Linked DNA regions of Astyanax mexicanus. The protein of the gene in region 1 interacts with the protein of each later gene in a pairwise test. Links are inferred from orthologs where the notes say so. Each region holds a gene or a part of one and is shown on either strand. Other genes may lie near its edges.

What was found.
Region 2: the proteins of efhc1 (region 1) and tex11 interact in binary tests that used the Homo sapiens proteins (3 or more experiments, as listed by UniProt). The two-hybrid records come from large-scale screens. The link is inferred for Astyanax mexicanus from reciprocal best matches to the Homo sapiens genes EFHC1 and TEX11.
Region 3: the proteins of efhc1 (region 1) and kctd4 interact in binary tests that used the Homo sapiens proteins (3 or more experiments, as listed by UniProt). The two-hybrid records come from large-scale screens. The link is inferred for Astyanax mexicanus from reciprocal best matches to the Homo sapiens genes EFHC1 and KCTD4.

The regions. Positions count from the first base shown.
Region 1 is NC_064408.1:42,213,635-42,224,992, forward strand, and holds the start of efhc1 (EF-hand domain-containing protein 1), read left to right. Parts: upstream 1-5,849; 5' UTR 5,850-6,001; coding exon 6,002-6,256; intron 6,257-7,457; coding exon 7,458-7,679; intron 7,680-8,293; coding exon 8,294-8,581; intron 8,582-9,347; coding exon 9,348-9,497; intron 9,498-9,750; coding exon 9,751-9,943; intron 9,944-11,015; coding exon 11,016-11,236; intron 11,237-11,358. Other genes in the region: protein eva-1 homolog C, read left to right, coding at 1,325-1,543, 2,537-2,913. UniProt on the Homo sapiens protein: Microtubule inner protein (MIP) part of the dynein-decorated doublet microtubules (DMTs) in cilia axoneme, which is required for motile cilia beating.
Region 2 is NC_064417.1:48,323,320-48,334,091, forward strand, and holds the start of tex11 (testis-expressed protein 11), read left to right. Parts: upstream 1-5,273; 5' UTR 5,274-5,443; coding exon 5,444-5,471; intron 5,472-7,788; coding exon 7,789-7,904; exon of another isoform or gene 7,905-8,008; intron 8,009-8,439; coding exon 8,440-8,524; intron 8,525-8,643; coding exon 8,644-8,723; intron 8,724-8,899; coding exon 8,900-8,980; intron 8,981-9,201; coding exon 9,202-9,321; intron 9,322-9,462; coding exon 9,463-9,543; intron 9,544-9,652; coding exon 9,653-9,738; intron 9,739-9,995; coding exon 9,996-10,053; intron 10,054-10,130; coding exon 10,131-10,226; intron 10,227-10,531; coding exon 10,532-10,613; intron 10,614-10,703; coding exon 10,704-10,772. Other genes in the region: kdrl (vascular endothelial growth factor receptor kdr-like), read right to left, coding at 109-172. UniProt on the Homo sapiens protein: Regulator of crossing-over during meiosis. Involved in initiation and/or maintenance of chromosome synapsis and formation of crossovers.
Region 3 is NC_064418.1:28,510,563-28,520,772, reverse strand, and holds kctd4 (BTB/POZ domain-containing protein KCTD4), read left to right. Parts: upstream 1-7,085; 5' UTR 7,086-7,214; coding exon 7,215-7,991; 3' UTR 7,992-8,571; downstream 8,572-10,210.

The DNA.
Region 1 (11,358 bases):
TTGAAAATGCAAAACTCTATATTATATAGATGTATTAAACACAGTGATCTATTTTAAGTGTTTAATAAAATCAATGTTGGACAAAGGGAATAGGACCTATGGAAAGCAGTTAGCAGTGTAGGCTCCTTGACATTTTGCAATACTATGTATAAGTGATTACATAATTACACAATGATGATATTTATTCCATTTATTATTAGATTTATATTTTCCATTGCAACGACTTAAAATTGGTACCAAAAGGTGGTTGTGTGGGCCTTGCACAACCACATTTAGTACTGGTCCAGTAAAATTAAGTTTTGTATTGTCCTTTAATTAGTTTACAGAAACACAATGGAAGAAAAGTATGTGCTTCTGGAGCAATGGTGTACCTTAGAACAAGGTTTTAAATATAGTAAAAATGTATTAATTTAATACTTTTTACAAAAAGCACTAAACAGTGGTAGAACAGTGTTAATGTGTGAATAATGTGAGAAGGGTGTTGAGTTCAGTGGCATGGGGGAAGAAGCTGTTACAGAGTCTGGCAGTGATAGCCTGGGTGTTTGGGTACCTTCTGCCAGACAACATAACTGAAAAGAAGCTGGTAGCTTTGCAGATACAGGATGTTCTGTAATTAATTGTCCATGATAAAGAGAAAAGAGACCCCAGGGATTTCAGCTGTCCTTTCTGTCTGATGATAGGTTCTGTGGTCAGTGTTCTCTTTTTAACCAAGTGGGAGCTAGGGGCGTTAAAATTCAGGTGAAAGTGCTTGATCCCTTCTGTAACAATACAGAATACAGGTTATCCTCAAGAAGTGAAGATTTGAGGAGGCTTAAGGTGTAAAAATCTCAGTATGTGATGTTAAAAGTCTCGGTATAAGAAAAGTTTATTATGGTGAAAAAAGAGTCTAATGATGTAAAAACTTTCAAGATTTGTAAATTCTCAATATGTTGTGAAGATGTGAAAAGTCTTTAGATGTGAAAAGTTGTATAGATATAAAAAGCTCTAGGATGTGAAAAGCCTCAGAATGGTGCAATGCCAGGCTCAGCTAATTGAGATGTTATAACTATAAGGCACACTCTCTGTTTACTCTTAATCATCTAATGGGCTGTTTGCTTGGTCTACACACACGCACTAACACACCCACACACTCACATAGTTAGATGCCCCCTGATACGTGGCCTGTCAGCATGAAATGAAACCCAAAGAGAGTTTTGCAAATGAAAGACTCGCCAACAAACAAACAACAAACAAACCGTCAGGAGGAGACTGTCTGAACTCCTTATTACGCAACAGCAGTATTCAGATTAAATCAGAATTTGCGTGTGTTTGTGTGCGTTTACAGGGAAGTCAAAGAGAGGGAAGTCGGGTCCTTATTTGGAGGAAAAGATTCCTTCTGAAAACGGACTAAGAGAAACTGAAAGAGATAGAGAAGAGGAAAATCAAGAGCAAGAGACATCGTCACCTAGTGACCAGGATCCTACTGTTATCACTGTTGCCACGACGTCCAGCACAGAGATGTCTCTGATCAGCAACGCTCTCGCAGCTTACACCTACATTACAGGTAAGAGTCACACATTACCATACTCTGACTACACGAACATGTCAATGTATTAACAGTGGATGTATTACTTTCAATAAATTTGTAGCATTATTCAGTATATGGAGCTGTGTCCAGCCTTCAAAATCAACTTTCAATTAAAACAGCAGTGGCTACATGTTTCACTTCACAACTATACATGTCATATTTATCATATACAGCTCTGGACAAAAAAATAAGAGACCAATTTAAAATAATGAGTTTCTTTGATTTTACCAAAATGAAAACCTCTGGAATATAATCAAGAGGAAGATGGATGATCGCAAGCCATCAAACTAGGCTGAACTGCTTGACTTTTTGCACCAGGAGTGGCATAAAGCTATCCAAAAGCAGTGTGTAAGACTGGTGGAGGAGAACATGCCAAGATGCATGAAAACTGTACCTAAAAACCCTGGGTTATTTCACCAAATATGGATTTCTGAACTTGTTTTCTTCGCATTATTTGAGGTCTGAAAGCTCTGTATCTTTTTTGTTATTTTAGCCATTTCTCATTTTCTGCAAACAAATGCTCTAAATGACACTATTTTTATTTTGAATTTGGGAGGAATGTTGTCCGTAATTTATAGAATAAAACCACAATGTTCATTTTACTCAAACAAATACCTATAAATAGCAAAATCCGAGAAACTGATTCAGAAACTGAAGTGGTCTCTTCATTTTTTAGCTGTATATGAGCTGTATATGCTGTTAGTGGTCAGCTATTTCACGACTGACGCCTCACACTCTCCTCCAGACAGTTTGTGGGTTCTTGTTACAGTGGAGCTTCACTTTGATGCTGCTTTTTTTTATTTATGCTGCTGATTGATTTATCCAGGCGAGCGTTGTCTAGAGTAGTCTGCTGAATGTGTTGAAGGTATTGCTATAGTAGAGTTTTTGTGGAAAACTGCTATGGATGGGCTTAATGTGATTAATGAATTGACCAAGCTAATCCTGTGTTTATTTTGTGCGTGTCCACAGAGCACCCAGAGCGCTGTGCTCTGTATTTCATGTGCGGTGTGTGTGCGGGCCTGTTCCTCACACTCTTCGCTCTGGTGGTGCACATTTCCTGTCGGACGGACTGCAGGCGGAATCGGACAGTCAGCAAGAAGCGTCCGCGGCCGGTCGAGTCGGACAGCGGCAGCAGCGGCTCGGACTCAGACTGGGACTCAGGCTCAGACCTGTCGGCGCGACGACACAGGCGCTTTGAGCGCACGCTTAACACCAACGTTTTCACCTCCGCCGAGGAGCTGGAGAGAGCACAACGGCTGGAGGAAAGAGAGAGAATCATCCGCGAGATCTGGATGAATGGACAGCCGGACATACCGGGCACACGAAGCCTCAACCGATACTATTAACGGACGTATCTCAGTGGCATGGAAATACACACAGTAGGGCTGCAGCTATTAGTCAATTATGCTAAAATAAGACAAACACAACAAGATGTGCGGGGAGTGATAGGGAAAATTCTATAAAATGTTCTATAGTGGCCATATGATACATTCATTCATTCTGACAGACTGTAGTACACTACAGGAAGTGTAGGGGTGATATAGCTTCTCTAATTTTACTTTAAAAAGCTCCATTAAGTTGTATAAAAATCATAAATATGATCCACAAGCTCATTCTGATCGATTTAAATACACCATTGGAAGCGTTAAGTGCTATGGTTTCTCTAATGCCATTTTAAACTGCTCTATAATGCTTTTTAATTCAGACTGCAAACCACTATCACACCACTGTAGTGGCCTCTGTAGTGTGGTTTGCTCTATAATGTTTATATATGATCCACACAGTCATTCTGACTTTTGAAATGCAATGCAGATTATATTAAATTATATATTATATATAAATGCAGGGGGCAGGTTGACTACTGCTATGCCATTTTAAAAGCACTCTATAACAATCTATGACATTCATATGGTCCATGCAGTCATTCTGAAACATTTCTGGATATCTATAATCTTTATATGGTGCATTCTAACAGAATGCAGTACACTACTGGGGCAATATGGCTTCTGTTGTTTCACCGTTAAAATAATGATTTGCAACTTGCACAGACTAGGAAGAAAACAAAGAAAACATACAGGTTTGATTAGTCTTTAAAGCAAATAGATTAATAAATGATATTCAAAACAACTACTGGTTGCAGCCCTAACATATACTCCTCCACTGCCCAGGCTGTGATTTATTTTGCTTCTGGTTGGCCATAGCTGGGGGTTGTAGTTTTTCGAAAGGACTTGCAGAAAACTACAACACAGACTGTATTGGCCTATTTCAGCTGGACTCTGGGCTGTGTGTGTGTGTGTGTGTGTCAATGATTGGCACCTCCAGGCCTTTGCGGTGAGAATAAGCTCCTCAGCCTGGTAAGCGTGACATTTCAACCCCAGTGTGGTCCAACACCATGTAAATACGACCACCAACAACTCTTTTCCTGAACTTATAGGATGCTTAGGCTCCTGGGAGTTGCAGTCCATATTTTGGGGGTGCTAATTGTCCCAGCTGTAGGATGATTTTTTTTTTGGCAGCATATAGGAGTTTGAGGCAGCTCTGAAAGATGGAATAAGCTCTAAACACTTCCAGCACTCTTGATTGATCCTTTCCTTCTGCCTGTCAGGATGGGTATCAGGACAAGATCAAGGAAACTGACCAGGTCTGAAGACTGCTCATAAATACGACCTTTGGCTCGCGTGATGTATTTGAACTTTACCTGAGAAAAAAAAGAGGAAAAATAGATGAACAAAAAATGCTTGGAATTCATCTCAGCCCTTATAAAATATATTTTGAATATTTAATAGTTTTTTCCTATTGTTTTTGTTTTCCTGAATGGTTATTATGAAATATTTTTATACTGTGGCAGCATTCATGTGATAGCTCAGGGATGTAATCCAAGTGTTTCTGTGTAAAATGATACTATTTTTTATTTTTAAAACAAAAAAAATACAGGATGTACTTTGCTGAAAAAGTGTCCGCAGGAAATATCCGGAAGTGTAAACCTCAAAGAGGTTGAAGCCTTTAGTGTTTTTACATGTTAAACAGGCTTTTATTATGCAGAGAAGTTGAGTGCCTTATTTAGAACATGGGACATTAAACACCATACAACTGCTGCTGTTGAATTAACTCTTAGTTCATTTAGTTTTAGTAAGTTAATTCATCATTGGTGGTTTTATTGTTTATGAAACCAATATAAATGCAATCATGTCAATCAGTGATTTATTTATTGATTGATTAGGCTATGCTGATGCAATCCTTTTTTTTTTAATTTGTTACAGTCCCCTCCAGTCCGTTTTAAAGATGTTTAAAAATTTCTGCATAAATAAATGGCGAAGAAATAAACATAGACGTTTAGAGTGATTTGGTGTGAAACACTTGATTCTAGAGAAACTTACAGGGTCAGAAATTATCACACTGACTATGAGTGCAACACGATGCACTGACATGCATCAGAGAGTTTGTGTAGCTATTAAAATGTCTGCATTTGTGTTGGAGTCATTTGGACCCTGGATTTTCATCACCACCTGTGTAAAGTAGCCCAATTTCACACCAACTTCTCAATGCCTTTGTTTATGGTGATAAAATGATGCTGAAATTTTGAAACAACTGTGCAAGGTGTTATGGCCATGTAGTACAGTGCAGGGTATACTTCAATGTGTCTGACAAGTGTATATGTATATATTCATTCCAAATGATATATTGCTGATATATTACTGATTTATTCAAAGAGGAATGTATAGCTCTGGAACAAAATAAGAGATATCATAAAATTATGGGTTTCTTTGATTTTACCAAATTGAAAACATCTGGAATATAATCAAGGGGAAAATGGATTATCACAAGCCATCAAACCAAGCTGAACTGCTTGAAGTTATGCACCAGGAATGCCATAAAGTTTTCCAGCAACAAGAAATAAATACAAAGAGTAAAGTATTGGTTTTACACAATGGTCTCACTTGTTTCCCTGTGTTTAAAACACAGATTTTTCCTTGCCTTGTCCGACTTTGCTGTAATATTTTCTGTTTCAACCCGAGTGCTGGACACGTTTTTCATAGAATTATAGTGTTCAGGATATCTTAGGATGGTGAATTTAAATTCAAGGACCACACAAACTGTGTTTTTGTACTCTACCTGCTCTGCTTCCCTGCATTAACCCAGCTTTACCCTAATCCCTGTGCTTGGAATAAACTTCAGACTGAACTCTACAGGACTGTGTTGATGCTGTTGTGCTTATTATTTGGTGTGGAGCGACATCTGCCGGTCACATGTATACTGCACATTATTACACACACAAACCCAACACGGTAACCTGCATTCCTGCACACGAGCGCACAGTTCAACTAAGCTTTGTTATATGTGTGTAAAAAAGCTGTGTTACAGATTTAACTGTGTTTTACTACAGAGTAAATGTTTGAGGGACTAAATAATAAATAAAAATATAATACTGTGCACATGCTCAGTGGGACCCACGGTTGCCACGGGATACCAGAGCTAATAAACAAACGTCCTGTATCAGACCGCAGGTCCGCTGTGGTCCCAGAGGAGGCGAGTTCACACAGCGATTTAATCCACACTTTAATCCAGTTTACATCCTTAGAAAAGAGGCGGTTAACTTGTAAATTTGTGAAGAAGAAGTCCCATAAAATGTCTGTCAGCACCACACACGGTCTTCCTTTCCTGCCTGGGAACAGCTTTCGAGACACAACGGTGAGAGACCTGTTTTAAATAACGTTAACTAATAAATATGTCTACTAGCCCTGGGAAATATTGTGGGCTGTTATTGTTTCATATCATATTTTAAATGTGTTTAAATCTTAGATATATCTAAATACCACTTCTGAATATTGATACCAAGTATAGTGAGCAGCTCATTCGTGTTTTTTTTTCTTACTGTAGGAACATGACTATAATATTGTAAGGCTAGAGTCCGGATGTGACAGAAACCCCAAGAGTTTTATAACCTGTATTTTAACATTTTGTTCAAGAAATAAGAGCGTAAAACCATTAGCTAGTTGATTAAAGCATTTGAATGGTTAACGTTAAATGGTTGGAACAATCGATAAGAAAGTCGAAGGAGATTGGCTTTAATTTAATAATATTTCTTTGTGTGAAAATATAGAATAGAGTAAAATATAGAAAATGAATAAATATAGAAATATTTAGTTTCTTCTGTCACAGTGTCCTAGGAATTCAGTAATTCATTTGCAGTATTTGAGTGGCATGTTTAAGATTTCACCTGTAAATTCCTTCTGACCCTCTTGTATAAATCTCTTAAAAATAAAAATCGTATAATATCTACACGAAATAGAAACCCTCATTTTGGCTGCACATAAAAAATACTCCCAAACACACACAGCATATAAGAAAAAATATATATATAAAAAAAATTTTATTTTTACAAAGTCAGTTCAGAACTTCTTTCCTACATAAACTTTAATGACACTGTTTATGTAGTGTTTGAGCATGGAATTGAATCTACCTTCAATCTTACAGATGAGTGACAGGACAAGGGCACTTCAGGGGCCAATCAGTTTTGTAACCTACACTACGCTGGTCAAGGGCTGGTTATTCAGCTTGCTTACCAGGATAGAGTTTTTTTTTTCTGGACAAAAAATACTTTTTGTCCAGAAAAAAAAAAATAAATGGAAAAACGGTAAATACAAATATTGTTATAATTTTAATAAATCTATTTGTTGTGCTAAATTAATTAATATACATTTGGTCTAAATCAAATTGTACAGAAACATGTCTGTAATTTCATTAATTTAATTTTATATAGCGACAATCACATTTTGATAGAATAAATCATTATATCAATAAATATTACCATATTGCCCACAATTTTTAATTGTAGCAGATGTGATTGTTTGCATTCTATCTTCAATTCTCACTCTGGCCCATTCCTCAGAAATCAGCCTTCCACAGACCACAAACTCTGTCCTATAAGAACGGCTACGCGCTGCCTCTTAGGCCCACAGCGGGAATAGGCCAGGATCCCCTGCTCTCAGAGAACATCCTTCAAAACGAGATGAAGCAGCTGTCCAGTCAGATCCCCACCCTCACCTACGGCACCCCCACTCGCAGCCCCCCGCGGGACTTTATACCAGCTTTTGTGGCTTATGACAAGAAGGTAAGGAGATGGGATAAGGCTCTTTAGCTTTGTGGTTCTTAAAATTAGAAGTTAAAAAAGTTACTTTAAATTGTATCCATAATTTGGTTAAAAAGTGAAAAAAGCGTATATATTTTAAGCTAATTTCGGTCAGTCCAGGCTGACCCAAAACCAGACATCCATGGTCATCACATATCAGTCAGTGCTCACTGGAAACATGCTATGTTTTAAATACATTATTCAAACTATATCTCCTACTCATTCCAGTGTTGAACCTTCAACATGTAGACGATGGGAAACAATCTACAATCTGATAGGTCAATCTGGCTAATTTGCACAATATTGGTTCAAAAGGAGAGGGAGTATAATGAGCAGTGTTTGTTATAACAATAATATAGTATTACTATAGGTATATGTCTCTTGTGACAATTATGGAATAGTATGACATGCTGTTTTTAATGTAAACTACTGTATCGCTGGAAATCTGTTACTCTGTTACTCAGAGTCTTTTTTATGATATATTAAATATTGCTCAAGTGCAAAACCTACTGGAAGTTGTGTGTTTTTAAAACTATTTGAACTATTTTTTAAACCAGATGGACCATAACTTTGAATTGTATGTTCTCTACCACTAGGTGCTGCGTTTTTATGGTTATTACAAGGAAGAAGTGCTACATTCTCCAAACGAGCATTTCTATGTGCAGCCTGTAGTGATCTACTACTACCTGGAGGATGACAGCATTTGTGTGATGAAGCCAAAGTTGAAAAACACAAATGAAAAGGAAATCAAACAGATCAAACGTCACCGACTGCCCAAAAACCAGCCCGGGGAGCACTACCACTGGAAGGACTTCAACCTTGCTATGGACATGATTGTGTATAACACTGTGTACAGAATCACAAACTGTGACCCCTTCACCCAGGTACACACTTATGCATACTTGTTTTTACTATAAGTAAATTATCATTGTTAGTTTTGCTACCATGTAAAACTACCATGGCCATAACTATACTAACCCTAAACCTAAAACTTCTTTCTTGCCATGACCTTAACTATCCATTATTCTTAACCCTATAGCCACAGTAAACAACATAAACCTTAAAAATATTAATTCCAAACCTCACGCCAAGTATTAACTCTAAACTATAATCATACTCACCCTAACCATAACCAAATGAACTCTAAACCTAAACAAAAACTCCAAAAATAACCATAATATTTAAAATCCAAAACCTAACCTAACCCTAAAAACATTTTTACTAATGGGAAGCCTAACCCTAAACTTAACCCTAACCAAACTAATCCTAAATCAAACCCTGACCATAAAAATAAAAATAGTGACCCTAATCCTAACCCACATTTTAGCACTGAGATTTTTTTGCTGTGGTAATGTGATTGTTTAAGCCATCTGATTATTTATGAATGTAAAATAACCATATAATCTAAAATCCTAAACATAGTAATCCAAAAACTAACCAAACACTTACAAACACCTTAAAAACAATCTTACTAATAGGAAGCCTAATCATAAACTTAACCCTAAGCAAACTAATCCTAAATCAAACTCCGACCATAAACAATCCTTACCCACATTTAGCACTGGGATTTTTTTGCTGTGGTAATGTGATCCTCCAAGCCATCTGATTACTTATGTGTATATCTGTATATCTGTGTGTATGTGTTTGTAGGAGTTCATGGAGAGTCAGGGGATAGTTCTAAACGACCCTGAGCAGATCCCTGGTGACCCACACTCAAGCCGACAGATTCAACCCCAGCTCCCTGACATTTCTTCAACAAACTATGACAGATTCAAACAGTTTCTAACCATGGATCGCAAGGTAACCCACACACATTATATTTGAGAGATACACACACTACTGTTAATCACTAAAACTTATAAAGAGAATAGAAATATGTTAAAACTCTTGCTGGTCTCCCTTTTATAACAATAACTGGGAACAGCAATCAGTTTTCAGTAATGTAAAATCAATTAAAAGTGTCCTGGTCGTGGAAACGACTTTTTTTAAGTAGTAGCAGGTTGAAAAATAAGAAATATGCACCATATGTGTGAATTTGTGCTTGTGTGCGTAGGTGCTGCGGTTCTTCGCTGTTTGGGATGACTCTGACTCTCTGTATGGAGAGAAGCTTGAAGTGATAGTGCACTATTACCTGGTTGACGATTCAGTGGAGATTCGCATAGTTCAGGAGTCCAACAGTGGCAGAGACACAGTTCCTGTGCTTCTGCACAGACAGAAAATACCTAAAGACATTAAAGAAGTCTGCCGTAAGTCATATGAACACCCAGATAAAGACTTTCTCACCCTAAATGTAAAGAATTTCATGTTCTCAATTTCATTTATATTCTAAATTGTTACTTTGGAGAGACCTAAGGTTAGCGTAGAGCTAGCTAACATTAACAGCAAGCTAGCTAATGTTACTGTGGAGAGAACTAAGATTAGCGTAGAGCAAGCAAACATTAACAGCAAGCTAGCTAATGTTACTGTGGAGAGAACTAAGGTTAGTGTAGAGCTAGCTAACATCGACGGCAAGCTAGCTAACGTTAACAGGGAGAGAACTAAGGTTAGCGGAGTTAACATTAGCAGCGAGCTAGCTAACATACTAATGTTAGCGGCGAGTTAGCTACGTTACCGGGGAGAAAACTAGGGTTAGCAGAGAGCTAGCTAACATTAGCGGCGAGCAAGCTAACATGCGAACATGTTCTTAATCACAATGGAACAAAATTGTAAAAGAAAATGTATAACAAATGGGAAATTTTAAGTTTTAATTTTCAATACAATCAATTATTTAAGTTATTTTTTACTTTATTTATAATACTTTCTAAGTTATGTCTAAATGTTGGGCCTTAAATTATATTTATTGAGGTCTTTAAAAGGTCTTAAAAGCATTAAATTTGACTTAAAATGCAGCAAGAACCCTGAAAAGCAGTTGAACTGTTCATTGGTTTTATTTAGGGAGTGAAACATTATATACACTATGAAGAAATATCTAAATTACAGGCTAGAAAAAGTAAGTGAACCCCTGTGTTGATTTCGTTTAAAGCTAATTATCAAAGGAGTTTCATTTAAGGAAATGAGATTGGGAAAATAGGCTTTACTGGTGCTTTACTTGCTTAATAAAGGAAGCCTTTGCTTGTGAGTCAACTATTAGAAAAACACTGAATAAGAAAGAAGGTTCTATGGACAGAACTTTAAATTCCATGTTTAAGGAAAATAATAGACCATTTATAATTTCTGCCACAGGGTCCAGTTAGTCCAATCCAGTCAACTTTTTAACAGAGACAGTATCTAAGAAAACTTTTTTCATTCTCATTTTTACTAACATTTTCTTTTTATTAGAGCCATTCCCCAGCTGTGTTCTGGAAGTGTCTCCACAAGATGTTCAGGAGTTTTATTCTCCAAAGAACTTTCGAGTAGGTGAGGAGCTGAGGCTCATGGGTAAGCGATTCCTTCTGTACGACTGTGATGAGTTCACTCGGAAATACTACGAGCAGCATCACCCTGACATCCCTCTAAAGCCCCTCCCTGTGCAACAGAAAACCCAGGAAGACTGCAAGAAGGTGAATAACATTTCTGCCATCTGTCTGCTTTTCTATCTATCTATTCACAATCATTTAGCTTGAAACAGGGGGATTTACTGGGCATGTATTAATAGTGCAAAAATAATTCCACAATAAAAACA
Region 2 (10,772 bases), on another chromosome or scaffold:
TTTGTGACATCAGTCTCAGATTCAGATGTTTTCAGAGTGAAGCTGAACCAGCATCAATCAGCAGAGCAACCAGGCAGAGAGAAGAGAAAACCAGAGAAGTGGACTCACCGTTTGTGGAGGTAAAGCACTGGAAAAGCAGGGCTATGAAGGCTGCCGATCTTCTGGGAATCATTCCGTCCCTCCGTAGCCTAATGTTACTCCAACGAAAAGTCAGTCAATCAGTCAGAAGCCAAAGTAACCCAGTAGCCCAGGTCCCTCTAGCCTATCTATATCTATCAGCAGCAGCAAGAAGAAGAGATAACCTCCAACAGTGGATGGATGAACCGCAGCTATAAGCTGCTCCTGCAGCCACAGAACTTCTTGTTGGTAGCTTACAGCCTGTTTTCAAGGTTAAGGTTTGTATTCCATGGTGTCCAGACACTTTTTCAGCTCTTACGCTCCTTCAGGTAAGGGGTAGGAGCCAGTCTGCGCCTCTGGGCAGGTGCTATGTGGTTTTATTCTCCTCCTGGCGAATCAGAATATTACAAAAAATAAGAAAAGTAGGAAAAACAAGCAAAAAAACAGTCCAGGATTCTCAGGGTTCGTCTCACATATCCTCCACTGCGACTCCAAGCAGGGGAATGAGCTGCACAGACGGCAGCAGGCTATTAACTAAGCGCAGCAGCAGCAGCTCTCCTCCTGCTCCCATCCTGCTCCAGGGTTTTATACTGAAAGGAAGAGGCAACGTCACTGAGCCCTGACTGGGAGCCTGTGGCACTCTCACACACTCAGTGTTATCATAGCAATCCGTTTTAAGTCTCAAATCAAACCAGTAATACGAGTTTATACTGGTAAATTTCACATTCAAAACATCTGTAAAGCGTTTTTTATCATTTACTATCAATAATATCACATACTGCTCTGGAGAAAATAAGAGACCAGTTAAAAAGTGATGAGTTTCTTTGATTTTACCAAATTAAAAACCTCTGTAATATAATCAAGAGAAAGATGGATGATCACAAGCCATCAAACCAAGCTGAACTGCTTGAATTTTTGCACAAGGAGTAAAGGCATAAAGTTATCCAAAAGCAGTGTGTAAGACTGGTGGAGGAGAACATGCCAAGATGCATAAAAACTGTTTAAAAAACAGGGTTATTCCCCCAAATATTTATTGATTTCTGAACTCTTAAAACTTTATGAATATGAACTTGTTTTCTTTGCATTATTCGAGATCTGAAAGCTCTGCATCTTTTTTGTTATTTCAGCCATTTCTCATTTTCTGCAAATAAATGCTCTAAATGACAATATTTTCATTTGGAATTTGGGAGAAATGTTGTCTGTAGTTTCTAGAATAAAACAACAATGTTCATTTTACTCAAACTTATACCTATAAATAGCAAAATTAGAGAAACTGATTCATAAATTGAAGAGGTCTCTTATTTTTTCCAGAGCTGTATACACACAGTAATTGTTTAAGAAATAAAAGAAAACATTTAGTGAGAAAGAGTGTGCAAAATTTTGAATGGTACTGTATCTATAAATCCATTCTGACATTCTGACTAGACATATTTTTGGGATGATATAGCCATAATGTTAGTTTTTCTAGTCATATTTTACCATTTATATCATTACCATTTATCTCCACTGTAATTCTCAGGTCCAGGTTTCAGTCCAGGTCCAGATCTATCTGATCTATCTGAATCCTGACTAGGTCAATATATCTTTAATATACTGCAGTTATGATCATGTGTCTTTAGGATATGTGGAATTTTAGATCTCTATAATATACTTTAGATATCTAAAATTGTTTTGTTTTAAATTTAGTAGCAATAATATTATTCATATCTAAATTCAAAATCCAGATCTCTGTAATTTTACTTTTATCTATCAATAATATTGGATTTACAACTGATTTACGTGGAATTTCAGTTTTTTTTTTCTATTATATATTTCAAATAAATCTAAAATTAATATATTTCTATTTATATTACTTCTATTATTACTTATCTTTAACTGTCTAGCTTGGTCAGAGAGAAAAAAACTAACATATTCTATGACTGACTACTGATGTTCATTGTTTATTTCAGGTCCAAAGAACATACTAAAGACTAAAAACACTGCCAGTTGATCTGATATAGTGTTAAAACAAGTGACTTTACACATGACTGTTTTCCCCAAATGTCCTTCTCGAGATAAACAGATAAACATAGCTGCACCTCCCTAAAATATCTGGGTACAAAGGTAAACAGGCATTGTCTTACTCGTGCTATCGAGGTAAATATCCACAGGACAAATATTTGCTGCTTTATTTTTAACTTTGGAAAACAGGACACACAGCTATGCTATATCTAGGCCTAAAAACATTTGGGAACCTCCCATGATTTTGAAACGTCCAGCAAGTTCACCTTATCACAAATAGGGACATATCCATGGATATACTTTAGTGGAGGGGTTGTTCATAAGATTGTCAGGCATAAGAGTTCTGATTCACTGACTTACACTGGGTGTGTCTCCTCTCTTAAAACATTACAGTTCAAATCAAAGCCTTATATTAACAAATGTGTTAACTTCTCTGGGCTATGAGGCTTCTGGGATTGATCATCTCACAGTGGAAACCTCCAGATCTTTTTTGGAACACTCAAAAAAGTACAAAGCTTGTCGCTGGGGCTGTACCTTATATTAAGGTACAACAGAATACCTTTTAGTAATAGTCTTTTTTGGACCCATGTTTTTGGTACCAGTAAAGATTATAAAGATTATAAACATTATCATCAACTGAATATGTGTCGAGAATTGATTGTCCAAAATTGTCTGGCTTTAAAAATGAAAAATGTGTAATTAAAATATATATTATTTATTAGTACAGTGATACAGAATACCAAATGTACCTTTTAGCTGGTTAAATGGTACAAATCTGTACTTCCTGCTGTTAGGAAAGACTTTATGCTTCAGAGGGAACATCTGACCCTGTAAAGACCAATATTATACCTTAATAGGACACAATTATGAAATGATAAAAAGTGCACTTTGAGCAAAAGAAAAGACTTATATCGTACCTCTATTTTTTTGTGTGAAGAAATGGATGCAATCCAAGGACCATCCAGACTTTTATCAGAAACAAGGCCAGAAGCCAGGGTCTGTCATGGTTTGGGTTTTGATCAGTACACCTCTGCAATGCAGCATTAATGTAGAAATGTAGTTAATGGAGATCTTTGAGCAACATATGCTGCCTTATGATGACATCTTCTCCAGAGAAGACCTCTATGTATTTCTTCTTCAACAAGACCATGCAAAACCATATGTTGCACACACTGCAAAAGTATGGCTTCAGAACAAGAAGGTATGGGTACTGTTCTGGCCTGCCTGCAGACCGGACCTGTCCTAAATAGAGAATAGAGAATAGAGAATCTTTTGAGTGTTGATTTTTCATCCCAACTTTTTTTGGAATGTGTTGCAGGCCTGCAATGCATGAATTGATGTACAAAAGTTGTAAATTAACAAATTAAACAAAATATTTAGCTTTCTGTCTCCAATAAAACAAATGACAAAAAACCTAAATGTAAGAAACTCAGCACTTTTTTTATTATTCATACTGTCCCAACCTGTCTTGTTTTATGAAGTAAATGATGCATAAAATGATGAAATAGGTTTTTAAAATAGCTCTTTTGTCCTATTTGTTACTTTATTCCATTCTAAAGTAAACCCGAGGACTTTATTTCACATCACAACTCATATACATTTCTTTCTTTCTTTTTTCTTTTACAGGCAAGTCTTCAGAAGGGTGCACATTCTCCGTGGGCCAGGAGGGCAGCTAGATAAGACTCGAGTGGGAACAATTACTGGAAACCAAGGGCTGAAAGGCCTGGGCTTTTAAGACGTTTCTTTTTTAATCTAGTGTGCGGAAAACAATAAGAGGGTCCGAGTAGTTCTGTGTGCGCAGCTTGAGCTCTTTCCTTCAGGTCAACAATAAACCTCGCTCCCTGTTAAAACAAAGATGTCTGCTGTAGCAACAAAAACCTTTATGTTAAATGTGGCTTAGAATAGACCATGATTGGTCAATATGCCTTTATTTAGAAAGAATCGTGCAAAACTGGTGAATTACTGTTTTTCTTGTTTTAAACACCCGTTGTTTGTTTTGTCATATGCAGTTTTTGTAAAATTCTTCATCAATGTTTATTTTTTTATTTATTTACAGGGGAATCCCAGACAGCAATTAAGCTATGTCTTGAACTAAACAGCATTTTAAATGCAGATTTTCCATTTAAATCAAAGTATCATGTTTAGGAAACGTACCTACTAAGGTTTATATCTTAATTCTTAGTTTGTAATCACTTTTTCCTTTGTATGTCTAATAAAGAACTAATAAAGGATTATGTTTGATTTTTTTCTTATTAACAAATAATATTTGCAATACAGCAAAACTTTACAATACAGCAAAATTATAATAATTATAATAGTAATTTGCTCTTTCTGTCTATGAATCTTTTATTAAGTGATTCATATGTCTTGTGTAAGACACCATCTAGTGGTCATATAGCAGGACTGCACCTCCAGTAAATAAGCTTGCTGTCTTACAGGGGAAGAATATTTGTTGGAAATATTACTACTAAATAATGTCAAAGGTATTTCTTATAAGCATATTTACCAAATGTATTGGTGTCATTTTGTGATTTACCGCCATTTACTAAATATATTTTTGCCTTTATAAGCACATGTAAAGACTATGGCAAATGTCTTTAGATTTATTCAGAATTTTACACATAATAAATGTAAACATTTTTTTAAAATATATGTTTTAAAAATTATGAGGAATTAAAAAAAGGAATATATTTTCAAGCAATTTAATTATTTTCTTAGCAATGCACTATATGCATGAAAATAAGGAACAAACAGGTAGACCCATATATTCCATCTTTGTATCAAATAATTTTATATCCTGGTCTTCCTCATGTAATCAGAAAATCCATAAAAAACTGTCTAATTTTGTCTGATTTAATAATAGTGAAAGCTTTGTGTTACAAATAGTCAATAATAATGTATAATGTGTGTGTTGTAAATTAGCTCTGATGTTGCTAATTTTAAATTTCTGGAGAAAAAAAACTTTACCAACATTATTTTCAAAGTAATTGGAAATTCCCCTGTATTGTTTAACTCAATTCTATTTTGATTTATTTGTTTTATTTATTTATCTTTACTTTTTTATTATTATTATTATTATTTACTTTTTATCATATTTATTACAATTTATGTTTGTAAAAAAAACCCTGTCTTTATAATTCTAACGTTACAGGCTTTATGTCTTCACTGTCCCTTTAGGCTCGCGCAACACGTTAGCTGATTAGTTGTGTGAGTTTTTGTGAGAGAAGACGGGATTTTAACGAGGTTTTGTCCTAAAAACAGTATAGATACGAGGTTGCCTGGGTTCAAATACATGTTATAAAGGTATAAACATTGTAAAACTGAGATGGAGGACGTTCTTATTAATGTGAAAGGTAAGAATTGTCTTCAAAAGACTAAAATCCCCGTTTGCTTATCTGAGGTAATTATTGTGAGTTAGCGTTAGCTTGTTAGCCGCTAGCTAGCTAGCTAATTCTAGTTAACCTAACTGGCTTAATTTTAACTAGTGGTGGAGAAATTTAGAGCTAACTTACTAACTATGTAGTTCTTGTGTTTTATTTCTTTAGCTGACTAACTTAGTTTTAACTAGCAAAGAATAACTAACTTAGCTAGCTAGCTATCTGACTTAACTATTGGTGGTGGAAATACTATCTAGCTAGGTAACGTAGTAAACTAACCCTATTGGTCCAGAAATTACTAGCTAGCCTAGCTTAGCTAGCTAGTAACTGACCTAAATTACACTAAGTTATCTATTGGTTGATAATAATTTTAACTAGTGGTGAAGAAATTCCTGGATATCTAACTTAACCTCAGTTTTAATTAGTGGTAGATAAATTACTAGCTAGCTAACATTCACTGACAATTGTAACTAGTGGTGGAATTACTAACTGGGTTAACTAACTTAATTTTAACTAGTGGAATTAACTACTAGCTATCTGACTTAAATTTAACTATAGGTGGAGGAAATAACTTACTAGGTTTAATAGATAGCTAGCATTAACTGAAAATTGGTGGATCAATTACTGGCAAGCATTAACTGACAATTCTAATTAGTGGTGGATAAATTAATAGCTAGGTTAACTAACTTGGTTTTAACTAGTGGTGGGAAAATTCCTAGCTAACTAACTTTGTTTTAAATAGTGGTTGAGGAATTAACTACTAGCTATCTGAATTAAATTTAACTATTGGTGGTGGAAATACTATCTAGCTAGGTAGTTAACTAACCTATTGGTCCAGAAATTACTAGCTAGCCTAGCTTAGCTAACTAGTAACTGACCTAAATTACACTAAGTTATCTATTGGTTGATAATAATTTTAACTAGTGGTGAAGAAATTCCTGGATATCTAACTTAACTTTAGTTTTAATTAGTGGTAGATGAATTTCTAGCTAGCTAACATTCACTGACAATTATAACTAGCGGTGGAGGAATTACTAACTGGGTTAACTAACTTAATTTTAACTAGTGGTCTGGAAATTCTTAGCTAACTAACTTTGTTGTAACTAGTGGTTGAGGAATTAACTACTAGCTATCTGACTTAAATTTAACTATTGGCGGAGGAAATAACTTACTAGCTTTAGCTAGCTAGCCCTAACTGACAATTTTAAGTAAAATTAAATTTAACTAACTATTGGTGGATGAATTACTGGCAAGCATTAACTGACAATTTTAATTAGTGGTGGATAAATTAATAGCTAGGTTAACTAACTTAGTTTTAACTAGTGGTGGGGAAATTCCTAGCTTAGTAACTTTGTTTTAACTAGTGGTCGAGGAATTTCTATCCAACTGATTAAATTTAACTGTTGGTGGAGGAAATACGACTTTTATCTAGCTAGCATTAACTGACTGTTTTAACTATTGGTAAAAAAAATTACTAGCTAGGTTAACTAGTTCACTTTTTAGTTTTAAAGTACTAGTTTAGTTTTGTATAGCAGTGGAGAAATACGTAGCTAACCAACTTTGTTTTAAATAGTGGTGGAAGAATTGCTAGCTAGTTTGCTAATTGACAATTTTAACTAGTGGTGGAGGAAGTGCAAGCTTGCCAACTAATTTGTGGTGGAGGAATTAGCTAACTTACTAGTTAGCTATCTTACTAGTTACCTTAACTAATCTACTTTTAACTAGTGTTGGAGGAATCACTAACTAGAAAACTACTTAAGTTAAAGTACAGATACCCACGCTAAACGATAAAGAAAATTATTACAGTAAAATTAAAAAGCATCCCTTGAGGCCTCTAACTTGGAAAAAAGCTAACTGACTTGTTTTAACTAGTGGTGAAGGAATTACTAGCTAGCTTACCATCTAACTTGTGCTGAAGGATTTGTTAGTCAGCTAACTAGTTATCTTGACTTAGCTACTTTGTACTAGTGGTGGAGCAATTACTAGATAGCGAACTACTTAAATTAATGTAGAGTTAACCCACGCTTAAATATTATTCCAGTAAAAGAAAAAGGCTGGAAAAAAGTGTTTGCCTTCAAATGTAGCTAGCTACATTAAGGTACATAAAGTTAGTTACTTAGTTATGTAGTAATCATTAGTAAACCTACCACAATATATAAGCTATGACTAGAGAAACCAATTATAGTTACATTGGTAATGTAGACAACTCAATTCAACCAAAATAAACAGCCAAACATGTCGTGCTGTATGAACTACCTAACTACCAACAATATAATCTGTTTTTCTCTCTTAGGTCTGGCAGAGAGTCTTCTTAACAGACAGAGTGATGACAGTGTGAACGACTTGATTGAGACGCTGTTTGAAAAAGTTCAGTCGCTTGAGAAACCCACTAAAATTCAAGATACAGAGGTGCCGGTCTATTTGAGAACAAATTTTATTTAGCTAGATCATAAGTCTAAAGCTGAAAATCCACGGAATTTTAAAAGTGGACTTTATATCGACAATAATTTGAAGTAAGTTATGATGTCTTGTGAAATATAAAGAGATAAAGGTTACCAAATTACTGGATATGGCACAGTTTACCACAATATGTAAGAACAGAAAGGCATTTTTAATAAAAAGTACATTGTTATCTTCTCTGACATTAACTTATAGAGATGGGGTTTTACTGGTATCCCCCCCCCCAGTCTGATGCTGTAATCCAACCTACTTATGTACCAAAATAGGGCAAAAAAAAAACAATTAGAAGAACAATAACGTTTTTTTCAGCTGAAATGCTGACTGTGAATGAAAAACTAGATAATTGGAAAAACATGTATAAAAAAATCTGAAAATTGATAAATTGATAAACCTTACACAGACCCCAATGGGACATGATTATCTTGTTTCTCATTTTTAGAAAGTAGCTCAAAACAAAAATAATAAACATGTTTTTTATTTGCAGGTTGAAGAATGTGCTATTCAGTTGTGGAACTGGGCTGTGACCAAAAATATTGGTTCTGTTATTAGTGAGCAACAAAAAGCCAAAGGTTTTTGTTTTATAAAAATGTCATGTTATTTTCTTACAGGCAGTCTTTATTTCTGTAAGTTTACAGATGCTTTAATGACATTTTACCTTACATGTTATGATATATTTTGTGTGATTCAGTGCGTCTTGTGGCCTGCAAACTCCTGTATGTGTGTGAAACCGAGGAACCACCTGAGAATGTTATTCGCAAACAGATTATGGTTTGTCTGTGTTCTCACTTCATTTAATATTATTTTTGAAATTCAGAACTTTTTCTGAAAACACTAATTATATTTCCTTTTAGTTTAGTCTAATTTTTTAATGCAACATTTCCACTGCACTTCAGCTAGTTCTTTATGGTGTGTGTGTGTGTGTGTTGTATTTTTATGTGTCGCAGATGGCCAGTAAGACAGGGAGAACATGGCTTGATTGTAAAAACCCTAAGCTTGCCGATGACTTTTTAAAACTTGCAGTCAGTGTAAGTGTGAACTTCATGTCAACTATATAGATATAGATATAAAGATATAGATATATAGAATATTGTCAGACAATGACATTGCACAAATTATTTTTTCTTGTGAAACAGTGCAATTAAATTAATAGAACAATCTGGTTTGATTGTATTTTGATTTGAGTTTGTTGTTGACCTAAATATAACCTCCAGTACAGTAATAATAAATGTTTTGTATGATTTCACAGAGTCTGGAGACTCTTTACTGCAGACTAACATCCCATGGAGCTGGTGTTTCTGATACCAACACACCGAAAGGAGATGTAGAGAAAGATCTTCTGCGTGTTCTCTCTTATCAAGCAGAATCTGTAAGATGGTGCTTATATGTAATGCATTTAGTAGTAGAGAATGACTGGAGTTGTAATAATCCTAGCAAACAATTTAAAATAATATTATAATACATTTAGAATATATTTTACATAAATGCACTTGGCGTGACTGACTTTTAGGCAGTTGCTCAAGAGAATCACCAGGAGGCAGTGTCCTGCATGCAGCGGTGTAAAGAGATGCTTCTTAGGCTTCCTAAGGAGGTATACGATTTATTTTCATGTTATTATTTCTTGTTTGCGTTTTGTCTTTGCGTTTTTATTTGTACGAATAATTGTTTTACAGTAATTAAAGCAGCTTAATTTCTTTTAGACTGGCTATTTGTCTCTCATCTGCTACAACTTCGGAGTGGAAACATATAATCAAAAGAAGCTTGAAGAAAGCTCTTTTTGGCTCAGGTGAGACTTATGTTATCCTGTACCGTACATTTGCAACTTTGATCAGTAACCATAGAAAAAGCAATGTGTGTGTCCCTTCCCATCCCCACATGGTTCATTTTAGCAAGCAGCAGCCTCTTATCTGTGTGTTCCTATTGTCGTTAGTAGTAGTGTCTTTATTTACTTTGATATGAATCTGCGCAATACAAAAATATTTGCTTGTCATGAATTATAAAAATGGTCAGGCTCATACACTAATTTGCTGTGTTTTGTTTTAGTCAGAGCTATGACATAGGGAAGATGAATCCCAAGTACTCCCCTGGGCCAGAAATGCAAGTAAGCTCTATTTGCTGTTCAGTTCAAATTGTCATTGAAACTAATTATGGGATAATTGCAATATTTTCTCTTTTTAGGCCAAAGTCTTGAGACTCCTTGCTACTGTCTATTTGGAATTAGACTGTCAGAAGTACCAGGAGAAAGCTCTTCATGCTGTGAGCCTGGCTAATAAGGTATGGTTTTTCGAAACAGCATATATTTTCTAGAGATAATATTTGTTTTGTGTTGATTGGCCTAATGGTTATTAGCAAGCCATCGTCCTTGGTAAAAAAAAATACATCCAGCTAATAAAAGTTATAAAAAAAAAAAAATGTACATTGTGCTAGATGGCCAATTAGGGTTGCAGTTTAACTTTCTGTGAACATAAATTTCCAGGAGGCAAGTTACAGTAATCGCAGAGTCTGTATATTTACAGTCTGTAAGTAAACCATCTGTGCAAAGATTGAGGTAACATTTGGTTTTCCTTTGTTTTTTTCAGGAATTCTTTCACCCATCTGGCCTTTATCTAAAAATCCGTATTTTAGTAAAGAGTAAAGCATCAGATGAAGTGGTCAAATCTGGTGAGTGTAAAGTTTGTGTTCTTTTTTGCAGCACCTGTTTTTTTCTGTTCTTCATCATTATTACTGCTATTTTCTCTTGCTGTCCGTTAGGATTAACTGAGCTACTCGACTCTGATGTTGTTCTGGATGTATGTCTGAGCACAGCAAAACTGCTAATGG
Region 3 (10,210 bases), on another chromosome or scaffold:
ACACAAAGGGCATTATGAATATCATGAAACATGTTGGATTTTTGACTTTTGAATAAACCTGATGAAAATTCCTTTCATTTTTTTGCAATAACTATTACAGAACAATGTCAGTTTTTCTAGAAGATCGCGCAGCCCTCTCACATTATGATTATGATACAGGATGCTGTCACACATTATAAATACCTGCTTTCATGATGAAATACTTTTCATTATGCTTTTTAGCAAAGACAGACATATGGTATGGCTTATAAATAACTGTGCTAATTAATTAATTTTATATTTTAATGAAGAAACGAGCTCTGGTGCTAGCCACCAATATGGTGGAAACTCTGGATTATTCTCCAGCCTGTAATGAGGTGTCTATGTACAGTACAGGCCAAAAGGTTGGACAAAAGGTCTTCTCTTTTTTAATGTGTTTTCTTTATATTACATGACTATTTACATTGTAGATTCTCACTGAAGGCATCAAAACTATGAATGAACACGTGGAGTTTTATGTACTTAATAAAATGGGTGAAATAACTAAAAAATATATATATACAGGTGCTGGTCAACGAATTAGAATAATTTGAAATAGTGCAATCATGAAATTCTTTGAATGCATTTTTTGTGCAGAAAGCAAATCAGGTGTTCACCGCACCTGTCCTACTCGTTAGACTAATCACAGAACTCGTTACCTGGAAAATAATTTGCTCAGCTGAGCTTTCCAAAAGGCTCATTTAGGCCATTTAACTGTGACACTGTTGTTTTATTGAATTAAAATAATGGAGAAACCGTTTCATTGAATTAGAATAATTTTTATTATAATTACAATCATCACTTTCTCAGTATTTTGTGGCTTCCCCCTTGGCTTGTATGACTGCCTGAAGTCTCCGCTGCATCGATTTGACCAGCTTGTCGCAAGTTTCCGCACTCACAGCTTCCCAGGCAGTGGCGATGTTCTGCTTCAGTTGGTCCAGCGTAGTAGGCTTTCTGTCGCAAATTTTCCGCTTGACGATGGCCCAAAGGTTTTCAATGACATTGAGGTCAGGCGAGTTGGCCGGCCATGCCAAAACTTCAAGCTGTTTTTTAGTGAACCAATCTTTGGTCGACTTTGCCGCATGAGCCGGTGCAAGATCCTGTTGAAATATGAAGTCTTCTTCGCCGAACTGTTCCTCAACAGTCGGAATCAGGAACGTTTCCAGAACATCTTGATATACGGCAGCATTGACAGTCTTCTTGAGGAAGCAGAGTTTCCCTACACCTCGAGCGGACATGCATCCCCAGACCATAACGCTCTGGGGAAACTTGCCGGATCTTTTCACGCACTCGTGGTTGTAGGTTTCGCCACCACGACGCCAGACACGAGGACCTTGGTCACCGAAGGAGATGCAGAAGCGTGATTCGTCACTGAAGACCACTTTCTGCCAGTCTTCAGCAGTCCACTCGCCGTGTTCTTTGGTCCACTTCAACCGTTTCTCCATTTGTTTCTTGTTCAGCATCGGTTTTACTGCTGGAACGCAAGATTTGAAGCCGAGTTCGCGCAGACGACGGTAAGTGGTTGATCTGGAGACGTCAGCGCCGGTCTGCTTGTTCCACAAGTCGGTGAGCTCGGAAGTGGACTTGAACCGGTTGCTGACTGCGATCTTTCTCAGCTGCTTGTTGTCGCGAGCAGAAGTTTTTCGGACGCCGGAACAGTTGGTGCGCTTGCTGCAGTTTTTCTTGAGAGCTTTGCAGACAGAAGACTGGCTGATGCCGAGCTGCTCAGCAATTTTAGTTTGGGTCAAGCCTTGTTGGCGAAGGGCTTGAATTTGAGCCACTATTCCGGTTGAGAGGTCACGCTGCTTACCCATGATTGATTTTACAACTTAGAAATTCTACTCAACCCTGACTTTATACTGCACAGTGAACACTCTTCACAGAAAACAAAAATTCGAGCATTTATTCTAATTCAATGAAACGGTTTCTCCATTATTTTAATTCAATAAAACAACAGTGTCACAGTTAAATGGCCTAAATGGGCCTTTTGGAAAGCTCAGCTGAGCAAATTTTCCAGGTAACAAGTTCTGTGATTAGTCTAACGAGTAGGACAGGTGCGGTGAACACCTGATTTGCTTTCTGCACAAAAAATGCATTCAAAGAATTTCATGATTGCACTATTTCAAATTATTCTAATTCGTTGACCAGCACCTGTATATATATTCTAGTTTCTTCAAAATAGCCACCCTTTGCTCTGATTACTGCTTTGCACACTCTTGGCATCATTCTCTCAATGAGCTTTAAGAGGTGGTCACCTGAAATGGTTTTCCAACAGTCTTGAAGAAAGGAGTTCCCAGAGGTGTTTAGCACTTGTTGGTCCTTTGCCTTCTTCACTCTGTGGTCCAGCTCACCCCAAACCATCTGGATTGGGTTCAGGTCCGGTGACTGTGGAGGCCAGGTCTTTTTTTGTTCAGTACATAAAACTCCACATGTGTTCATTCATAGTTTTGATGCCTTCAGTAAGAATCTACAATCTAAATAGTCATCAAAATAAAGAAAACGCATGGAATGAGAAGGTGTGTCCAAACTTTGGGCCTGCTCTGCATATTATTGCTATGGCTCCATAAGTATGACCAAAAGGCTCCTGGGAAGAAGTCTTCATAGGACAGTCTGACCAAGGACCCGCCCTACTCCGACTACCTGCAGTCTAAGTTTTTGAAGGCAGTTTGTGTCTCTTTCAGCACATCAGAACTCTTATCGCCCCCTCCTCCCACATCTGTTATGTAATGGTGGTCACTTGTAATTTGCAGTTTCCAAATGGCAAACGTCTGATCTAAAAGACTTTCCCATGACAACTGTTGATCAAAATCATGTAGCTAACACCTCAGCGAACTCTGAATAATTTAACGCATTTACCATTTATAGAAAATCTCGACACAGCTCATAATAACTGTGCACTATAATTATCATCCAAATCCCAAATAAAGACTTAAGGAAGAGGCTTTTGGCATTGTGAGAAACATGTACTTTCTCACTAAAATGACAATAGTGATGAAATAATTTGTATTCAGTCATATTTGTCCATGTTAAGTTAAAATTTCCGTCTGCAGTTGAATAACAGGATTAAATTCATGCTGTTAAGAAATTGTGCCTTTTGACAGATGTAGACGAATATGATTCATCCTGATGAGCCATTACTCATAAGTATTCAACGCTAATAAATTCTAAGACAGCAGTGATATATGTTGATGCTAAAAAGAGCCATTTTAAACATAAATGATAGTAGATGAGTCTAATGAAAAAGCAGTACGTGCCTCTCATACTAGTGAATAAAAAAAGAAAACGGACACATTTAGTACATAGACACACGAATATTCACTCATCCAAACATATGAGCCAGTTTATTCACTGCCTTATTTAATGTAAATAAGCTCATTTAACATAAATCATAAAGTAAGAGATGGACCAATCAGTGCTTTTGAGGGCTATATTGAACACCATACGTCAAAATTTAATCAAAAGCTGGGCTGAATGCCATATTAATCATTCCAGGGAAACTTGGTGTTGCTCTACTGCCATTACACATGGCTTCGCTCACATTCCAATACATTGTATCTCAAGATGGAATTTAAAAAGCCAGTGATACCAGCAGCTGTAATCCTTTGTAACCATTCTTTTTTTAAAGGCATCCTTCATAAAATCCACTTTTTCTTGTTCTTTGTGAAATACTATAGGTTTCTCTGAGTCTCATCCTCAAACTCCATTGGCTGCAGTAGCTAATAAAAGAAAACGTTTAGAAAAACGAGTCAATCAGGAAAAGCATTGTGTCTACTTCAACCCGTGAATTAGTATCCATGGCCTCGCCCACCTCTGCTTGCGACCGCCCACAGGCAGCTGAATATGTTTAGAACAGTTCTTATTACAATAGTTAAAAGTAAAAATCCACAGATTTTCTTTCTTTCTGGACCTGGGCCCACCTCTGTATAAGTAACTAGGTTTACATAGGATCTCCGGTAGATTTTGCTTTTTATACAGACTCTAAGATTACGTCAGTGGCTACACTGCACAGAAGACCATCTTGCAAAGAACAGCTCACATGGCATTCATTCATACTAGCGACCACAACTAGACATTTTAAAATGAATGAAAAAAAAAACGATGGAACTAGACCTTTAAAAGTAAAACTGTGCTTTCTGCAGATCATTTAGATTCCTGTATTCATGTATGAATGAGAATGACTCTGAAGCAATGTTATCAAGCAATTATCGGAAGGTCAATGGTTGGTGTTAGTGTCACTAGCTATAGGTCACAGCAAGTTCAACACTTCTGACACTTAATCGTGACTGGCTGGCAACGTCAGATTTAGCTTATTTTGTGTGTTAGCAAGCTGATAAACAGATAAACACAGAACAAAATTAATTGTTTAATCTTCCTATTCAGACTTTTCACAATATGAAGTAATACTAGTTTAGTAATATTTTAGATTTCAGACCATGCTCACATTATACAGTCACCCTTTGGTTGTGCATTTAGATGACCTAGAATTCAGTTTAATGGTCATATTCCGTGGGACAAGGTTTTTAAGTGGTTTGTTATTTAAGAATCATAATTTAGTGCAAGATCTGATCCTCTAGACTCAGCAAACATGTTCAATGTGCCATCACTCATTTCTGAACATCTTGAACTTGTGGATCAGTCAAATAATGCTAAGAATTTTACTCCGTTCCCTCCATGAGACATTTCATACAATGTACAAATATGTGAGTTTTAGTCAGATACAGTAAAACCATCAGACTAATGGATTTACAATATGGAGCACAATACAACACTGGCTTTCAGACTTGAATGGGATCCTGCAGAGTTGTGTGTGCGTGTGTGTGTGTGTGTGTGTGTGCCATAATTCCATCTAGTGATAGAACAAGGAACTACTTGTTGAAAGAGGAGTAGGATGACTCCAAGTGGGTCAGCAGGCTAAGCGCTGTCACTATGATCAGGAGATTGCCGGTTCGAATCTTGTTCATGTAGCTTGCCATTGGCTACCGGAGCCCTGAGAGAGCACGATTGGCCTTGCCCTCACGGGTGGGTAGATGACGCTCTCTCGCTCTCTCCTCACATCACTCCAAAGGGTGATGTCTGCAGCACAGGGCGTCTGTGAGCTGATGTATCGTTATGAAATGTAATGTAATGTATCGAGTCGCTACACTTTCCTCCGAGTACGCTGTGATGCTACTCGGCAATGCTGCATCAGCAGCAGTTCGAAAAGAGACGGTGGTTGACTTCACCTGTATCGGAGGAGGCATGTGCTAGTCTTCATCCTCCTGGTGTTGGGGCATTTTTAGTGCTAGGGAGAGTCCTAATGAGTGGGTTGGGCAATTGGCTGTGTAAATTGGGGAGAAAATGGGGAAAATTTTGAAGTAAAATTATAAAAAAAAAAAAAAAAAGAAAGAGCAGTATGAAACAGAGCGGCTGTAGTCAAAAATCATCTGATCAGGTCTTAGGATCAGTCATTTTAGTAACATAGATAGATCTCCAATCCCATTCTTGAATTAAAAAAAAAAAAAAAAATTATTTATTTTAAACACTAGAAAACTAGAATGGGATGACTGCACCACAGCATCTATTAAAATGTACAAAAAAAATCACTTTCAGAATTTAAGTAAAGATGCTTAAAGGCACACAATACCTGTTCTTCCTGCATTCTCTCTGTTAAATATACAAAAAACTAATTTTTAATGTTTATGATGCACAAAGCAGTAAAGAAAGCAAGAGTACGCAGCTGATTTACAAATGAGCACAAAATCCCTTTGTATTTAAAATACAATAACATTGGCTAAACCACTGAAATTATACCCAGCTATATTTTGTTCATAAGATAAATAAAAGTTTTTTCTAAACAATTTGTATTTGTTCTTCAGGAAATGTTGCCACAATGTAAAAACCAACTGCCAGATTAAAAGTATGTCCAAAAAAAAAAAGAAAAACAGCAAAAATGGAGATAAGGCGATGATACACAACAGCCACCATGTTGACACCAATGAGCTCAGCTCTCCTGGCCTGGGGCAAGCAGATCACGCTGGACGACTGACAGGTTGTCATTGCTGACAGCTCACCGTGATGTCTCAGATGTCTGACCAACAGTGCCCAAGCCATATTAGCACAACAGTGTACACACTGGCATGTCTCCTCAGAGACAAAGACACTTAGAAACACTGCATCGGCTGCCTGTCACTGTCAGCCCACATTCCCAAGGCACTATATTAAGAATACCAAGTCTTTTTTTCCTGGGAGTTTAATACTGGTCACACGGTACTGTGTTGTGTTTATCCTTTATATACCGTTATTCAGAGATGGTCTGCGGTCAATTACGCACAAACCACAAGCATATCCTCACTAATCAAAAGCTCGGGCTTAACTCATGCTCCCACAGCTGGTAATTAGGTCACTTCTTACCACAGATTGATGCAGAGATCACAAAGACAAGGCAGCCTTTCTCTTTTAAAGCCTTTCAAAGGGAGGGAAGCACTGACTGCATTCATGCCTTCTGAAAGATGAGAAACAAGTCATTTACATAAACCCATCAATTCGCCGTCTTCTTTCTGGCTCTCGTTTATTAATAAACCTGCCAACGCTCACCACGCCACACAATGGTGGCAGATGGACCTCTGAAGCAAAGATTTTGACAAGAGAGAACTTTAACATGTGTAGACTTTTCACATTAACACTAATGCATCCCACTGGCTCAGTTTAGGCAGAGTGCATTAAGTGGGGTCCCAGTGATTTGGCCCACTCCTGTGAGCTCACGTGCTGTCTCCCTGCTCATGAGGCCCTTTCACCAGAGCAGAGCGGCGCTAATTGCTGAAGCAAAGCGGAGGAGCATGCTGGAGTGGAGAGGTGATTAAATCCAGCCTTTAAAGTGGAGGGCAGCGAGCGATGCACTCTCTCTCCCCTTCTCCAGCCCCCTTCCACTGACGCAGGCGAGCCCACCCCTAACACCCCTCCTCCACCTCCTCCGCCCCCTCCTCCTCCTCCTCCTGTGAGCGTGCGAGCGCTCGTGTGTGTGTGTGTGTGTGTGTGTGTAGGGCTGTGAAAGGCTCCAGCACTGCTGGCAGTGCTTAGTGCTCCCGTGCTCAATGCCAGCGCCGCTCAGCTGAGCTCCTATTCGTTCACTCGCCCGCACACATACACACACCCCTCCCCACCATCACATCCCCCCCCACCCCCACCCGCGCTCAGACAGGCTGGGCTCGAGGAACGGCATGGAATGGAATCTCAGAAGGATGGAGAGCGAACTGAGGCAGATCAATCCGGACTTGCTGCAGCCCAGCAAGAGCTTTAAGAAGCCTTCCTCGAGCACAATCACCATCAACGTGGGGGGCTACCTGTATGCTGCGCAGCGCCAAACACTGGCAAAGCACCCAGGCTCCCTGCTGGAGGAGATGGTCACCGGCAAGAGACCCGTGCAGCACATCGACTCTATGGGGAACACCTTCATCGACCGCGATGGCCCCATCTTTCGCCACGTGCTGAACTTCCTGCGGACAGGTGAGCTCATCCTGCCGGACGACTTCAAGGAGGTAGCGCTCCTGCGCCGCGAGGCTGACTTTTACCGACTCAGCGAGCTGTCCCAAGCCGTGCAGGACTGGGAGCAGCAACAGGCCACCCATCGCGAACCCGCCTTTCTGGAGGTGACAGACAGCCACGAGCGCTCCCAGGGCCTCAAGGTTTACTGCAGTGACACAGGCTTCATCGAGAAGGTGAAGGGGCGCCTGGTCCAGATCTCAAAAAGCCGGCTGGACGGCTTCCCCGAGGAGTTCGAGGTGTCGTCCAACGTCATCCAGTTCCGACACTTCATCAAGTCAGAGCAGGGCTCCCGGCTGGTGCTGAAGGAGGACAGCACATTCCTGTGCACGCTGGAGACGCTCAAGCTGGAGACGGTGATGATGGCACTGAGAGGAGGCTTCCGGCTGCTCACCTGCCTGGACAGCAGCCGGGGATCAGTGGTGCAGTGTGAGGCTCTGCACTTTGTCAAGTGACCCAACCAGGACTGATGCTGAGAACCACATGACCCGCCGAGACCTACCAACACCAACACCACCACCGCTGCCACTGCCTCCCATCCCATATTGACGTCCCCCTGCCACCAGCACATACTGCACAGGACCTGCGCTGGAACACAAAAGGGACATTCCACAAGTAACACTGCTTCTGCGTTCCTCCAGCTCCAGCTACCAACTGCCTTTACAAGTGAAAAAGAGGTGTTATGTATTGTGTTTTCTTTTGGTATACCATGCATAGTCCCTCATTTTAACAAAAGCTGGCTTTTTTAAAAGGAAGAGGAATAGCACATGGACATGGCCTCTGAACTGCAGAGTGTTCTACCCTCTGACCTCTTCCCAGAATCTCTTCAGATAAGTGGAAATGGCAACAGGTGCATTTATACAACTACTGTGATTTCTGAGCAACAGGCTGAAATACTACCTAATGCATGTGCAAATTCTGTTCGCCTCTGGGAGCAAATGTTGTGATTGCTGGTCTTGTGTAAAAGTGAAGCTGACAGTAAAATGTTATTGTAAAATATGTCAATGTTTTACAAAATAAACATTATAAAAGCTACCTTCTGCTACATGACTTATTTAAAAGACATTTCCATAAAGCTGTAGGTTTGTTACATTACCTGATCAATTGTCTATCTGTGATGAGAATGATCATAACAGCCATTAGCAAGATTGTGTAATGTACTTTAATGAAGAAACATGATTCAATCCAGTGTGCACACAGCTACAACTCATTTCCTTGGTAACAGTGAAGGCAGCTTGTAACAGGAACTACATTGTGCCCTAAATTAGTCTTTGCAATATTCTGCCTGACCTAAAAATAGAGAACCACAATTCAATAATTGTTAAATATCTCCTCAAGCATTGATCCTAATTTAAAACAGGGATGATGTTAGTGTGTGAAGCCCATTAAGATGTATTAAGATTTGCCTTTCATTCGGCACATGTGCTCTGCTTTCAGTTCTTTTTTTTTTATTATAAATACTTTAACTATAAATGTAAGCAACATGTAAAGGTAAAATCTACGTTGTACATCACAGATACATGTGGCTCATCTATCATTTATGGTGGCTCCTTTTATTTCCCCTCCAACTTGTGAAATACAGGCTGTGAGATAATGCTACTGAAAAGAGTAAAATTTATGAAATCTCTCTTATGTATTAATTTAAAAACTGTCAGTATTCAGCATTCACCTAAAAAAAAAAGAAAACTGAAAAATGCCACACTAAATGCCACACTGATGATTCAGTTTTATACACAAAGCTAAACTCAGCCACCACCCAAAGTCAGTCATTTTTAAATGAGGCAACATTGGACATATGATCACACCCACAAATGGAGCAGACAGCATCTCCACACAAAACAATCCATCTGCTTCCATATAATCTGTCCTGCTCCCTTCTCCCTCTAATGATTCATAATAATTACTTGACACAAGGAAATGGAATCAGTCCCAACCCCACAGTTTGTTGTGAGAACATCAAACCGAGTTCCATTTTTAATTGCAGATAAGGGTCATTCATTTTTGATGAGAGACTGTGGGGCTTATTAGCCCCTTATCCGTGACTGATGATGTAGCTCTAACCCACAGGCAGCGGGCAGCTAACACCTTGTGGGGTGGAGTGTGGGGGGGTTGAACGCATTTATTTCAAATGGAGAGCCCATTATCTGCTCAAATATTCATGGCTTGGTCTCACATCCATTTGCTGCCAAGCGAACGAGACTCCTACATTACAACAAAAGCCTGCTGATGCTCATCAAGTGTTCCAGGGGAGGAATGACTAATATTGCTCCTCTCCAATATCATAATTGGTCAAGCTAACATGTGAATTCGAGATGGCACATGCCCTCGATAGACCAGTTTCACAACTACAGCTCTGACTGTTCAGAAAGAGTGAGAAACGAGAATAAATCAGACCCTGGCTCATTCACTTTTACCAAATAAAGTAAATGCTAGCCATCGTGTTCCTGAACTGAACGGTAAGTAAAATTCATTAATTCACTTGCATTCATGTCGTTTTAATCAATACAAAGAAACTCAACAGCCCACATCTGAAGCACAGGCCATTCACAAAATGCAAAATCGTAGATCCAGGCAACAGGTAGCTCTTGTTTCAGAGAGTTTAGAATTTTTTAATTTGTCTCAGAATTGTATGCTGTATCATATTATATCATTGTTGAATGCCTATTTAGTTTAC